3 linked regions of the Coturnix japonica genome follow. Each later gene encodes a partner of the first gene's protein in a complex. Links are inferred from orthologs where the notes say so. Each region holds a gene or a part of one and is shown in the gene's direction. Other genes may lie near its edges.

Evidence for each region.
Region 2: the proteins of CDCA2 (region 1) and PPP1CC are in contact, whole or in part, in a crystal structure (PDB 5INB), measured with the Homo sapiens proteins. The link is inferred for Coturnix japonica from reciprocal best matches to the Homo sapiens genes CDCA2 and PPP1CC. Residues at the interface, in NP_689775.2 of Homo sapiens: Lys391, Arg392, Val393, Thr394, Phe395, Gly396, Asp398, Leu399, Ser400, Pro401, Glu402, Val403, Phe404, Asp405, Glu406, Ser407, Leu408, Pro409, Ala410, Asn411, Pro413, Leu414, Gly417, Gly418, Thr419, Pro420, Val421, Cys422; in NP_002701.1 of Homo sapiens: Arg20, Gly21, Ser22, Pro24, Lys60, Tyr70, Asp71, Leu73, Arg74, Glu77, Tyr78, Asp166, Lys168, Ile169, Asp242, Leu243, Tyr255, Phe257, Arg261, Pro270, Asn271, Ser284, Asp286, Glu287, Thr288, Leu289, Met290, Cys291, Ser292, Phe293.
Region 3: the proteins of CDCA2 (region 1) and PPP1CA are in contact, whole or in part, in a crystal structure (PDB 5IOH), measured with the Homo sapiens proteins. The link is inferred for Coturnix japonica from reciprocal best matches to the Homo sapiens genes CDCA2 and PPP1CA. Residues at the interface, in NP_689775.2 of Homo sapiens: Lys391, Arg392, Val393, Thr394, Phe395, Gly396, Asp398, Leu399, Ser400, Pro401, Glu402, Val403, Phe404, Asp405, Glu406, Ser407, Leu408, Pro409, Ala410, Asn411, Leu414, Gly417, Gly418, Thr419, Pro420, Val421, Lys423; in NP_002699.1 of Homo sapiens: Gln20, Gly21, Ser22, Pro24, Tyr70, Asp71, Leu73, Arg74, Glu77, Tyr78, Asp166, Lys168, Ile169, Asp242, Leu243, Tyr255, Phe257, Arg261, Pro270, Ser284, Glu287, Thr288, Leu289, Met290, Cys291, Ser292, Phe293, Gln294, Ile295, Leu296.

Annotation. Positions count from the first base shown.
Region 1 is NC_029537.1:1,990,665-1,995,095, reverse strand, and holds the start of CDCA2 (cell division cycle-associated protein 2), read left to right. Parts: upstream 1-1,570; 5' UTR 1,571-1,672; exon of another isoform or gene 1,673-1,701; intron 1,702-1,725; exon of another isoform or gene 1,726-1,880; intron 1,881-2,176; 5' UTR 2,177-2,356; coding exon 2,357-2,696; intron 2,697-2,924; coding exon 2,925-3,055; intron 3,056-3,413; coding exon 3,414-3,561; intron 3,562-3,672; coding exon 3,673-3,908; intron 3,909-4,211; coding exon 4,212-4,293; intron 4,294-4,431. Other genes in the region: BTB/POZ domain-containing protein KCTD9, read right to left, coding at 639-760, 1,346-1,393. UniProt on the Homo sapiens protein: Regulator of chromosome structure during mitosis required for condensin-depleted chromosomes to retain their compact architecture through anaphase.
Region 2 is NC_029530.1:5,183,847-5,187,485, reverse strand, and holds part of PPP1CC (serine/threonine-protein phosphatase PP1-gamma catalytic subunit), read left to right. Parts: intron 1-2,100; coding exon 2,101-2,232; intron 2,233-3,428; coding exon 3,429-3,639. UniProt on the Homo sapiens protein: Protein phosphatase that associates with over 200 regulatory proteins to form highly specific holoenzymes which dephosphorylate hundreds of biological targets.
Region 3 is NC_029520.1:169,906-174,126, reverse strand, and holds PPP1CA (serine/threonine-protein phosphatase PP1-alpha catalytic subunit), read left to right. Parts: upstream 1-1,283; 5' UTR 1,284-1,433; coding exon 1,434-1,593; intron 1,594-1,986; coding exon 1,987-2,118; intron 2,119-2,198; coding exon 2,199-2,429; intron 2,430-2,823; coding exon 2,824-2,928; intron 2,929-3,001; coding exon 3,002-3,225; intron 3,226-3,396; coding exon 3,397-3,531; intron 3,532-3,613; coding exon 3,614-3,724; 3' UTR 3,725-3,912; downstream 3,913-4,221. Other genes in the region: CARNS1 (carnosine synthase 1), read right to left, coding at 102-104; cell cycle checkpoint control protein RAD9A, read right to left, coding at 3,988-4,086, 4,168-4,221. UniProt on the Homo sapiens protein: Protein phosphatase that associates with over 200 regulatory proteins to form highly specific holoenzymes which dephosphorylate hundreds of biological targets.

The DNA of each region.
Region 1 (4,431 bases):
GATTCCATTAGTTAGAATCAAGAATCTGATTGTTCTCTTAACTTCGCAGGTTCCAGATGACTGCAATTTTACCAGCTGCACTAGAAATGCTACCAATAGAGACTTGTATCAGCCAGGTAGGGATCACTTCTGATATTCAGCAGCTTTAATTTTATGAAATAGTTCCTTTTCTCCCCACTCTGAGGTGCTTTATGTTACATGAAGCCAAAACCATACCATAGTTTGTCTCCTTTTCAAAAATAATCTCTGGTTTTATGGTAATCACTTGTTATTCATAGAATGGCTTAGGAAGGGACCTTAAAGATCCCCAGTACCCCTGTTGTGGGCTGCTTGCCCCCCATCAGATTAGGCTGTCCAGGGCCCCACCCAGCAACATCCAACCTAGATCTCATCTTTTATTTTAAAGCCATTTCCTTCTGTCCTATTACAACATGTAAAAAGTCAGTCCCTCCTCTTGCTTGTAAACTCCCTTCCATTACTGAAAAGCTACAATGAGGTCTCCTTGGAGTCTTCTCCAAGCTAGACAAGCCAAACTCCTTCAGCCTTTCCTCACAGGAAAGATGGTCCTGCCCTTATTAAGAGCATTAACAAGCTATTAATCTCCATCCACGACTTGGCATTTATGGGATCAACCTTACCTAATCAAGGCAATATCATCGATGAGCCCACCTTTCCCATTGTAAACACTGGTTGCTTTGATCCCCAGCTTATTACTCGCCACAGACAGCAAATCTGACAGCGTGCCATATACAGCCACTACCTGCAAAGAGAAGGAAACCACATTAGGGCTGCTACCATCCCAGAGCAGCATTGGGCCTTAAAACCTGATATGCTTTTGCTATAGACATTGCTTCACAGCTTTGAGCAGAAAAAAAGGTTATTTATCAGCTACCCAACAGAAAGCACAGCACAGGAAGACCTCAGCACATCCCTAATGTGCTCAGGGCATGTTTCTATCAGCACAGCACCACTAAATGGGAGCTGAACTGCATTGAAGAGCAGTTATGCCTGTATGGGGTCTATGGGGCCCATATGGGGTTGTGGGGCCCATATGGGGTTGTGGGGCCTGTATGGGGTCTATGGGGCCCATATGGGGTTGTGGGGCCTGTATGGGGTCTATGGGGGCCTGTATGGGGGTCTATGGGTCCTATATGGCCTAGGCCCAGTGCTGCCCCATACACAGGCCTAGGCCTCAACCCGGCCCCTCAGACCCCACTACCCCAATCACGGCCACAGTAGGCAGCCCTCCAGTCCCAAAGCAAGCAGAGGAAAATAGAACAACCTCAGAAACTCACTTTCAGGTTCCCAAATCCGACCCACAGGCCTCAACCCCCCCACCCCTCACCTTCCCGTTCCGGGGACTGCCGTTAACGAACAGCGTGACCCGCCTCATACTGCCACCAAACCCGGAAGTCAGCGCTCTCTGAGCGACAGGAGCTATAACCAATCGCAGCCAAGCCGCTGGCCAATGAGAAACGCGCCTCGCAGGAGGGGCGGGGAAACAACGAGTGGGCGGAAGCAGAGGTACCAGCAGCCAATCAAAAACAGGAGTTGGGTGCTTAAAAGCAAACGCTGCTCGCGATTGGTGCGCGCTGTCACGTGGACGGCGACCGTTGCAATTCAAAATGGCGGCGCGGCGCGTAACGGTCATTGATGGCTCCGCGGTTCGAACGTGAGGGGAGAGCGGGGATGGCGGCTGAGGTGGGGGGGGGGGGGGTCTGTGGTAATGGCCCTTGTATGGCCCTTGTATGGCCCTTGTATGGCCCTTATTGCCTTAAACAGCCCGGTCCGTGGAACCTAACGCGTATTCTCGTGAGCTGCTGCTGTGGCCTGTTTCCCTGAGCTTTAATACCTGAGAGAAACCCAGTAATGCGAAAGATGTGAGAGACCTAAAGAACCCCCCCCCCCTTTCCCCTTCCCCTTTATACTATTCATACCTCAATTGCGTTTAAAACGGGCATTTAAACGCTAAATGTATATATTTACCACAAAATAAAAGCATAAGCCTGTGTTTCCTTACCCATAGCCAAGCTTCTGTGCTTCTCTTACCATAAGGCTTTCCCTATTCTTCCCCTTTCCCCCCTCCCCAAGTGGTTTTCTAGATCTGCAGTCATTTCATATCATTACAGGGCTGTTTTCCTTATCAAATGACTTAAAACTTGTCATTTTTTAACAGGGAGCTGTTGTTATTGGAGGCAAGTGAATAACTTTGTGCTTCTTCGGGCTTAAAACACGTTGTCATCAAAGGTTAGAGATGCTGTGCTGGAAGATGAAGGCAATGAGAGAAGAAATCTTGCAGTGACTGAAGAGATCCCCATTAGAAGAGTGGAAGGTTTGCAAAGTGACTGAGCCTGAAATGGCATCTGAGAAAGAGAACGTAAGCAATGGAACCAAAGGCCAAGAGCAGGAATTGTATCATGATGCTGAGAGCCATCAGTGGTCAGAATGTCCCTTAGATACTCCAAAAAGGGCTGTGGTTGGTGAAGCTGCCCAGCCTCTGAGCAGCAAAGAGAATGTTTCAGGTAGATCCGTGCCTTTGGGAGATGAGTGCTACTCAACGCCTGCAAGGCTCAAAGCAGAAGAAAAATCCTATTGCGAATTAGCAGAGAAACAGAGGAGAAAAAGTGTCGATTTTGCAACTGTAACAACTGCTGATTTTGGGATTACTCCAGAAAGCTTTGTTAATGGATCTACAGGTAAGGCAAGGCTGGAGTGATCAGAAAGGGTTGGACTGGATGATCTTGTAGGTCTTTCTGCTCATGCTGATTAATTGATTTTCTGACAGTTTTCTGAGCTGTAAAGCTATATGAGGTTGTTTCCAGAAATAACGCAAACCATTCTTTAAAGAAAAAACCCAAACCCCATTAAACCAGTGTTCTGCTGTACATCTTCATTGTTTTTTTTTCCTTCTCTCTCCATTTCAGCAAAGTCTCCAGCTGCTCTAAAGCTCAGACGAAGATCAGCCATTGGAGCAAGGGGGTCTCCAGAAAACAATACCCTCATTCAATACCTTGCCCAGCAGAAGAGCAACAGGCAAAAAGAAGCTTTAACACAGGTGAGGGTTGTTCTCAAGTGTCTAATGCATCATTTTAATTCCCTTAGGGATCAATATGTAAGTCTTCCATTTTAACACCTCCTGGCAGAAAGAGACTAGAAACCCAAGGGAAGGGGTCAGTAGAAGAAATAGCTTTGGCCTTAATTTTCTTGATTTTCCTTGGATGCTTTTGTTTTTAAATAGAGAGTTGAATGCTGGTTTTGTTTCTGTAGAGTCCAGAATCTCTTTTTTTGTCTATTTACACTTATAATAGCATTCCTTTATCTGCATTCACTGCACTTTATGCCAAAGATATAGATAACTAAAAAAAATTGCAGGTCATCTTGGAAAAAGCATCTGACACTGATTTTTCTATTAGCAGGCCAGTCCTTGTCAGTTTGCCAGGTCACTGAAGAGCAAAATGGATATCTTTCAAAGAACTTTTAAGTCAGTTCAAGAAGCTGAAGGGAAGACGGGCTTCTCTGGACTCTCACAAGCATCTACTGCTTTTCAGGAAGGTGGCTTTTGTAAGTTAATTGAGTTTAAATATTAGGTCTTCCCTTAAGCCAATAAATATGAAACACCACTAAAAATGTTTTCATTTCAGTCTTTAATTTTCATATGTTCTTGCCTTGAAGTTTTCAGCCCTGACTGTATCAGTAAAGAAGTCAGAAGTAATGTCATATCAGATCAAAGCAGGAAAAAGGTTAATTTTGCAGAAGAACTAATTGTGGGAATATATGATGAAAGTGAGCTGCCTGTCACACCACTACAAACAAGGAGTGCTTCATTAAGTGAATCCACACAGAGTGGCTCACAGCTGAGATCTGTCTTGAAGAAAACACCAGTGAAGCAACTGATGGACTGCATGAAGGTTGGTTGGTTAACTTCCATCACAGTAGAAATTGATTCATATTTTAAGATGCTTTCAGACTATTTGTATGCACTGAAGATGGTTATCGGCGGTTGTCTGTTTGTGTCATGGTTGGTTTGAAGCTTTCTTGTTATGAGAAGATCCATTTTTATGCTTTCAAGTTTTACTCAACAAATAGATTTGTTAAAGAGTTGCACTGATTGTAAACTTTGCTTTCAGAGGAAGTTATTTTCTCTTTCGATTTGAAAAAGGGCAGTCCTTAAATGAATGGTACTTAATAGATGCTATTATCACATTTGATAGGAATATTCACACAATGCTCTTCATGGAGGAGGAAGCGAATCTTTTACAGTCTCTGATCACATCTGTGAAGCACTGCAAACAGGTTTGATTCCCATTTTGTTGTGTTATTTTCTTCTGTTGTTCTATGAATTGAAGAGATTTGCGAGATCTAAAGGATATTATGGATTAGCCACCACTGAAATAGCTCTTAAGTGGTAACATACAGTGTGAAGTGGAAAAT
Region 2 (3,639 bases), on another chromosome or scaffold:
TTTTTAGTGCCTTGTTCATTGCTTGGGAGCGTTAGGAAAATTATTGTACGGGTGGAAAAATGACTGCGCGGATGGGAAGCATCGTGTGTGATGAAGTGCTGCGACTGAGGTTTAACTTCCATTTGTATGCTTCATTACTTGTAATATTTTAATGGAATACTTGAAGTTTAGTGGTAATTTCAGTGTCACCGTGTGAGTCGGTGCCAGTGGTGAGCAGTAATACATAGACAGCGGGTAATAGAAGAGCATGTATTGCTTGAAAGATAGCGCTATTAAAGCAGTGACTTTTGACCTGCACTTAACTGAATGCTGCTATCGCTACGTGTTGTAATTTGGACTGAAGCTCGATTCTGAAGCTTGTTTGAGGAAAACATTGTGTGCTTTCCAGTGTTATCAGTGATTCTGCAGTGCAGGCAGTGTGAGCATGACCAGGGGCACTGACAGGAGCTGGTGTGCAGGGCAGAGCTGTTCTGGTGCTGACACCAAGTGCTAGCAGAGACTGGGCCCAGAGATGGTTGCTTTTATGAATGGATATAACGATATCTTTGTATATCTGGGTAGCAGAAAATGGTGTCTGCAACTGAGGGGTGGATCAGATAAATGAGGGGAAAACTCTTCTGTTAGCTGCAGGAACTTGTTCAGTCCAAGCTGGTGTCCTTGTTCTGTGTCTGAGCATTGACAGGTGATAAAGGGAACCAAACACTGTGAGGTGTTGCACTGGAGGAGTGAAAAGAGCGAAGGACTGAAAAAACAGCTGAGCTGGGAGCTGAATTTCCAGGTTGCCTTTCACTGTGTTCAAAGGGACTGGTAATAGGTGAGGCAGGGGAGAGAGCACAGAAAATGCAGTGCTTGCTTTAGTACAGGTGAGTTTGTCTGGGCTCCAAGTGAGTAATGAAATAGCTCAGCTTAAATGGCCAACGAACTAGAATCTGAAATACATGAGCTGTTTCCCTCTTGATTAAATCCTTTGTAGGTTTGAGGCACTCAATTTCTCTCCATGGTAGAGACTCTTCAAAGCATTAATGATGCTAATAGCTCCCTCTTAGCTTTGCTGTAGAATTCAGCAGTTTGGTGGCTTTGATTTTAATGCATTTAAGAAATTATTCTGGTCCTCGGCCCTTTTTTAGCTCTGCACATTTTCTCATGTCGTTCCTCCTCTTTGGCACAACCAAGAAGTGGGAAAGCCTGAGGATGGGATTTACAGGAACCTTCTGAAATAAATGTATTCACAGTCCCAATCCATATGGAGTGGAAATTCTGTGTGAAGGGTTCCCAGCTCTCCTTCCAGTTGTCAGGTTTTCAATGCATTCAGCTGTTCCTGTGGCTCTGGTGCTCCTGAGGGACTGGAGCCTCCAGGGGAGGGTGAAATAAGAGTGGTAAAAAGGTAAAATATATCTTGAAATATTGAAATAAGCTGTTTAATACTTCTAATTTCTGCAGTATGCTCTGTAACATTGAGGCAGGTTTCAGGAACACAATTATGTTTGTCTCACTGGTCCATTTAAATTGCAAAACAGTCATTAAGGGTGTGCCAGGTCATTAGGTTTTGACAAGTCTTGTTTTGTGGAGGCATTTTCTGAGGATGAAGTGCAGGTAATGTACTGCCTTCCTGTTAATTGTAACTGAAACCTGACTTATGAGTAGAGTAAAACTGTGTTTCATAAACCTTGTGCGACTTGAGTATTTTCTTCCTCTAAGGAAATGGATTTGGTTTTGTTTTTTATGAATTCTGGGGCTCCAGCTGTTTACTTTTCAGCTTTATCTGTGCCTGACTGCTTTAATCTGTCAGTAGTTAGCTTAACTTCTGGCTAGTGGTTATGGGATGGCAAGCATGTTCATATGTCTGACATTCCCATATGCATTTACACTGGATTACTTAAAACTTATTTTAAGAGTTCAGAGTAGTTTGAATAAGGCAGCAAACAGCTGAGTTTAGCAGCAAAGTGTAAATACAGATTATTTTAAGATATTATTGAATTATTTAATTGTAAAAGAACAGTTGTTGCATTCCCATTTGATGTTAATGGCATTTAGGCACTGTTAAAGTAACGCTGGGAACACTCTTGGCTTGGGTAACCGACTTCTGATTCCTTCCAACAGTGAGAGGATCAAAACCAGGTAAAAATGTCCAGCTTCAGGAGAATGAAATCAGAGGACTGTGCTTGAAATCCAGAGAGATTTTTCTCAGTCAGCCTATTCTGCTAGAACTTGAAGCTCCACTGAAAATATGTGGTAAGTGCTGTGATCTGATGCGTGGTTGGGAGTGGGGGGCATTTAGATGGATATCCTCTTTTAAGCAGGGGATGAATGCCAGATGCTGCTTCTGCTTACAAAACTGATGAATGATTGCAGTAAAAGGGAAAATAAGCCTGTCCTGAATGCTTTGAGTGGAGGAATGGGAAGGAGGTAAATGGGAATTGTAGGGGGAAGCAGGAAATCCCAAACCAGAAAGTGGTCCTGTTTGATCAAGTCTCCTGGGAAAGGGATTCAGAAGAAGCTTTGGAAAGGAACCTTTGTATCAGTTATTGCTCAGTGCTGTCGTCACTGAACATGGAGGAAAACAAGACACAGTAGCTGATGGGAGCTGCCATCCAGATCTCAGCCCTGATTTGACACAGTTTTAGAATCTGGAAGCTTAAATTTCTGTATCACCTGTGGTTTCTGGTTTGGTTTTACCATATTTATGTATGGTGATGTTCTCACTTTTTAGACATGCACATGTGTAGTTATGCTAAAGGGATGAAGGATGTCAAAATAAATCTTTAATAAATGCACGTTAGTAGAGGTTCCAGGAAGCAGTGTTTTATCCTGCTCCAACACTGCGGATTTACTTCTGAAGTAGCTTGTTCAATATTTATGGTATGTGGTAGCCTTAAAACCAGATTTATTGTTCTGCTGTCTGAAACAAAACCATGATTTAAACCAAAGGCAGGAATACCAATTTCTTCTGATACGACTTCCCTGCTGGAATTTGAGTTACTGGCTGTTGCAGGAAAATACCAGACGTGGTATAGAGGAAAGGAAATTCCCCAGGCAGTTTTTCCATCAGTGTCACTACTGAAGTGTGGCTGTATCAAGAATGAAGTCAGGGTTTCTAATCTTGCAGCCTGTAGTCAAGAAAAGGATTTAACTGGGTGCCAGATTTGTTTGAGTATGTAGAGTTGATTTCTTGGGATGTTGGACTTGTTTTATGAGTCTATGAGTATATTAAAGCAGATACGTACTGGAGTCATAATGTGTTCTTAGTCATTGTCTTACGTAGATATCAACTTTGAGTGTGATAGCATGAAGACAAACTATGTAATCTTCAGGAATGCTGCAGGCAGTATCTGTCTGCAGGTTTTTCCTGTTGGTGCTGTTTCTCTAGGGAAAATAATTGTAAAATATGACAAAGTCAGTTACGTGCCATTTCTGACTGCTTTTTACAGGTGACATCCATGGACAATACTATGACTTGCTTCGGCTCTTTGAATATGGAGGCTTTCCACCAGAGAGCAACTACCTATTCCTTGGTGACTATGTTGACAGAGGAAAGCAGTCTTTAGAAACAATTTGTCTTCTATTGGCCTACAAAATTAAATACCCGGAGAACTTTTTCCTCCTCAGAGGGAACCATGAATGTGCCAGCATTAATAGAAT
Region 3 (4,221 bases), on another chromosome or scaffold:
GCGGTGGGCACGGCGCTGCCACACGGAACACCCGGCACCACCCAGCCCCGCCGGGAAAGGGGAAGGGGCCCCCCGCCCGCAGACCCCGGGCCGCCACTCACCATGTTGCGGGCGTCGGGAGGCTGCGAGAGACGGGAGAGGGGTCGCGGTGAGCAGGGCGCAGCCCGCACCGTCGGCCCCACTGGTACCGCGCCGTGCCACCGTGCTCCCGGAGGGACACTGAGGCGTGCGGCCACACGGCCCCACCGGGAAGAGCCGTGCCCCGCAGTCACGCGTGGCCGCTGGCAGTGGGGCGGCCCCGTGCCCGGGCTTAGCGGCACAGAGCCCTATTGTCCCCGGCTTCCACCCGCCCGTCCCCGGCGCCGCTCGGTGCCGCCCCGCACGTCCCCCGGCTTAGCGCAACGGCTGCCCGCGATTTCACCGCCGGACACGCGCAGCACGGCGCACGCCAACACCCTCGGACACGCGTGGAGCGGGCGCCGCCTGCACCCACCGGCGGTCGCTGTCGCTTTCGGGCGGTCGTGGCGGCGGTGCCCGCGGAGCCGTGCCCGTTCTGCACCGGCGGCGGAGGCGCCTTCGGTGGCAGAAGGGCGTCCCCGGGGGAGGGCGCGGGGCGGGGCGGGGAAGGGGGGGAGAGAGGGAATGGGGGGTGTGCGGGGTGTGCGGGCACCAGGATTCAGGGGTGCGGGGTATCAGGTGTGGGGTGTGAGGGAACTATGGGGCGTGGAGACAAGGATGCGAGGGCATGAGAACATCTGGGGCGTATGGGGAAATGGAGATGGGGAACGAGGGAGCACGGGGAGAAGGATCTGTGGGGTTACGGGGATCCGGGGACACGGGGATTTGGGAATACGAGGCACGGGGACGTAGCGACGGGTAAATCGGAGGATACGGAGATAAGGGAAGATACGGGAAAAGGGGGATCTGAGAGTGGGGGACGTGGTGACAGAGCAACGTCGGGGTGGGGACGGGTAGATCGGAGGAGCCGGGGCACGGAGACACGGGATGTGAGCACACCGCGACGTGGGGCCGCACGGATCGGGGGACACGGGGAGGCGGGACACGAGCAGCGGGACACGCAGCCGGCAGCGGAGCGGGGACAGTTGCCGGGGTCGTTCGGGGACAGCGGCGCAGCTGACACCGCGGGGCTGAAATGTCACCGGTGTCACCGCGGGCAACGGGCCAGGCTGTGCCGGCACCGCGCGGCTCGTACTGCACGTGGGGGCGGCACGGCGGCACGAGGGGCACAAGTGAGGCGGGTGGAGCCGGTGGCAGCACCGTGTCTCTCGGCACACGTCCCCGCGGGGCTCCCCACGCGCCGCGAGGCTGACAACGGCAACAGCCGCCGGGCAACCGGCCGGCACGGGGAACGACACGGCGCCGCCTCGTGGGAGCGCGCAGCCCCCACGCGCCTCCGCGGCCTCCCATCCGCCATGGGGCGCTCTCGCCACCCGCCGCTCGCCCCGGCCGCTCTCTATGGCCGCGGGGCCGGGACCGGGGCGGGCCAGGGCGGGGGGGGGAAGCAGCGTCCGGCGGCCATGGCGGATACCGAGAAGCTCAACCTCGACTCCATCATCGGCCGCCTCCTGGAGGGTGAGCGATGGGCCTAGTGCTCCCGGACCGCCTCGGGAGCCGCTAGGGGAGGGAAGGACCGGCGCTGTGCCGCCAAGGAGGGGCTGGAGAACGGGGCTGCGGGCCGGGGCCTGCGGGGAAACGGGGGCCGTGCGAGGCTCTGGGGGTCCAACTGTGGGGCTGTGGGGCAGCGGGGGGTATCGGGGCAGCGGGGGGCCGGGGGGAGCCGGGCGGTGGGAGCCGCTGGGGGCTGTGGGAATGAGGGGGGCTGCGGGCGATCGGGGCGGATGGGGGGTGGCTGCAGAGGGCCGGGGGCACCGGGAGGGCCGTGCGTTAGTGCGGGACTGTTAGGGCACGGCGGCTCTGCGGGCTCCGGGGGTGGAGTGGGCTCTGCTGAAAGCCACCCCCGCACAGTGCAAGGCTCACGGCCTGGGAAGAACGTGCAGCTGACAGAGAACGAGATCCGGGGGCTGTGCCTGAAGTCACGGGAGATATTCCTGAGCCAGCCCATCCTGCTGGAGCTCGAGGCTCCGCTCAAGATCTGCGGTGAGCGACGAGCCGGGGGGAGGGGAAGGGGGCGGGCTGGGAGCCAGCGTCACCGCGTGTCCCCCGCGATCTTCTTACAGGCGACATCCATGGACAATACTATGACTTGCTTCGGCTCTTTGAATATGGAGGCTTTCCACCAGAGAGCAACTACCTATTCCTTGGTGACTATGTTGACAGAGGAAAGCAGTCTTTAGAAACAATTTGTCTTCTATTGGCCTACAAAATTAAATACCCGGAGAACTTTTTCCTGCTGCGTGGCAACCACGAATGTGCCAGCATCAACCGCATCTACGGCTTCTATGATGAGTGTGAGTGCTGCACCGGCCCCACTACTGACAAACGGGACTGCCTTGTCACCTCACTGCCAACCCCATATGATACAGCCAGCCCAAAGTCCCCCCTTCCATCCCCATTTGCAGCTCTTCCCATCTCCTGCAGACCTTATGTTCATCCCAGCTACTTTCTCCTGCAGACCTTATGCCCCCATCCCAGCCATCTCCTCCTGCAGACCTTATGCCCCATCCCAGCTACCTCCTCCTGCAGACCTCATACCCCCATCCCAGCCACCTCCACGGCCACCCCCCCAGCCCCCTGGAGGGTTCAGTGCTGCCCTGTGTGTGTTGTGATACACCAGAGGGTGGGGAGGGTGGAACATGGCCCACATGAAGGGCTCCTGTGAGCACCCACCCCGCTGCCTCACAGGCAAGCGGCGATACAACATCAAGCTGTGGAAAACCTTCACCGATTGTTTTAACTGTTTACCAATTGCAGCAATTGTGGATGAGAAGATATTCTGCTGTCACGGAGGTGGGCACAGGGCTGGGGGCTGCCGCCTGGGTCCAAAGGCCGCCACACAGCATAACCTGACACTCCTGTGCAGGGCTGTCTCCTGACTTGCAGTCGATGGAACAGATCCGGCGCATCATGCGACCCACGGACGTACCCGACCAGGGCCTGCTGTGTGATCTCCTGTGGTCTGACCCTGACAAAGATGTCTTAGGATGGGGTGAAAATGACAGAGGAGTGTCCTTCACCTTTGGGGCCGAGGTGGTGGCCAAGTTCCTGCACAAGCATGACCTCGATCTCATCTGCAGGGCACACCAGGTAATGGGGTCGGGCCTCACCTGGGCTCCATAACGGTGGAGCTTTTCCCAGGAGGGGCCATTTGCTCTTGAGGATGTGGTTGGGCTCTTTTGAAGGGGATGCTGCCCCCTGGGGGAGTTGGTGGGCTCTATGGACAGAGAACAGGGAGATATGAGTGCTGCTGCCCCACAGGTGGTGGAGGACGGCTACGAGTTCTTTGCCAAACGCCAGCTTGTCACCCTCTTCTCTGCACCCAACTACTGCGGGGAGTTTGACAACGCAGGAGCCATGATGAGTGTGGACGAGACCCTCATGTGCTCCTTCCAAGTGAGCTGGGGCTTTGCCGGGGAGGGGGCAGCACACAGGGCTCTGCCTGCAGCCCCTTCACTCACCCTTCACTTCCTTGCAGATTCTGAAACCAGCAGACAAGAACAAGGGCAAGTACGGGCAGTTCAGTGGGCTGAACCCTGCTGGCCGCCCCGTCACCCCACCACGCAACTCTGCCAAAGCCAAGAAGTGAGTGTCCACCGCCAGCAGCCCCAGCACCAGGTCGCTCCTTTCTCCATTCGTTTTTTTATTTGTCAGATCCTGCCCTTGCCGCTTTCTACTGTACCAAATGTACCCTCTGGGGCAGGACCCGCCCCTCAGTTGGCAGTGAAGGCAGGGCAGGAGGCTTTTTTTGGGGAATAAACTTGTAATGGGTCTTAAGATGTGGCTTTAGGATCACACCCTACGTGGCCAGGCAGTGCCAGCTGCTGCGCCATGGCATCGCAATGGGGGCTCTCAGCATTCGGCATCGCTGTCCTCTGCCAGCACCTCCTGGCTGGGGGCTGGGCCAGGCCCCCCCGGTGTCAGCACGGAGCCAAAAAACAACGAGCGGAACTTTGGGGGGGTGAAAAGACACAGGGTGAGGGGGCCGTGCCTGTCCTGTTCCCTCCCCCCATTCTGGTTCCTGTCCCACACCTTCTTGTGAGGGGGTGTCCCTGGCACAGCCCTGTCCTCCTCCTCTTCCTCTGG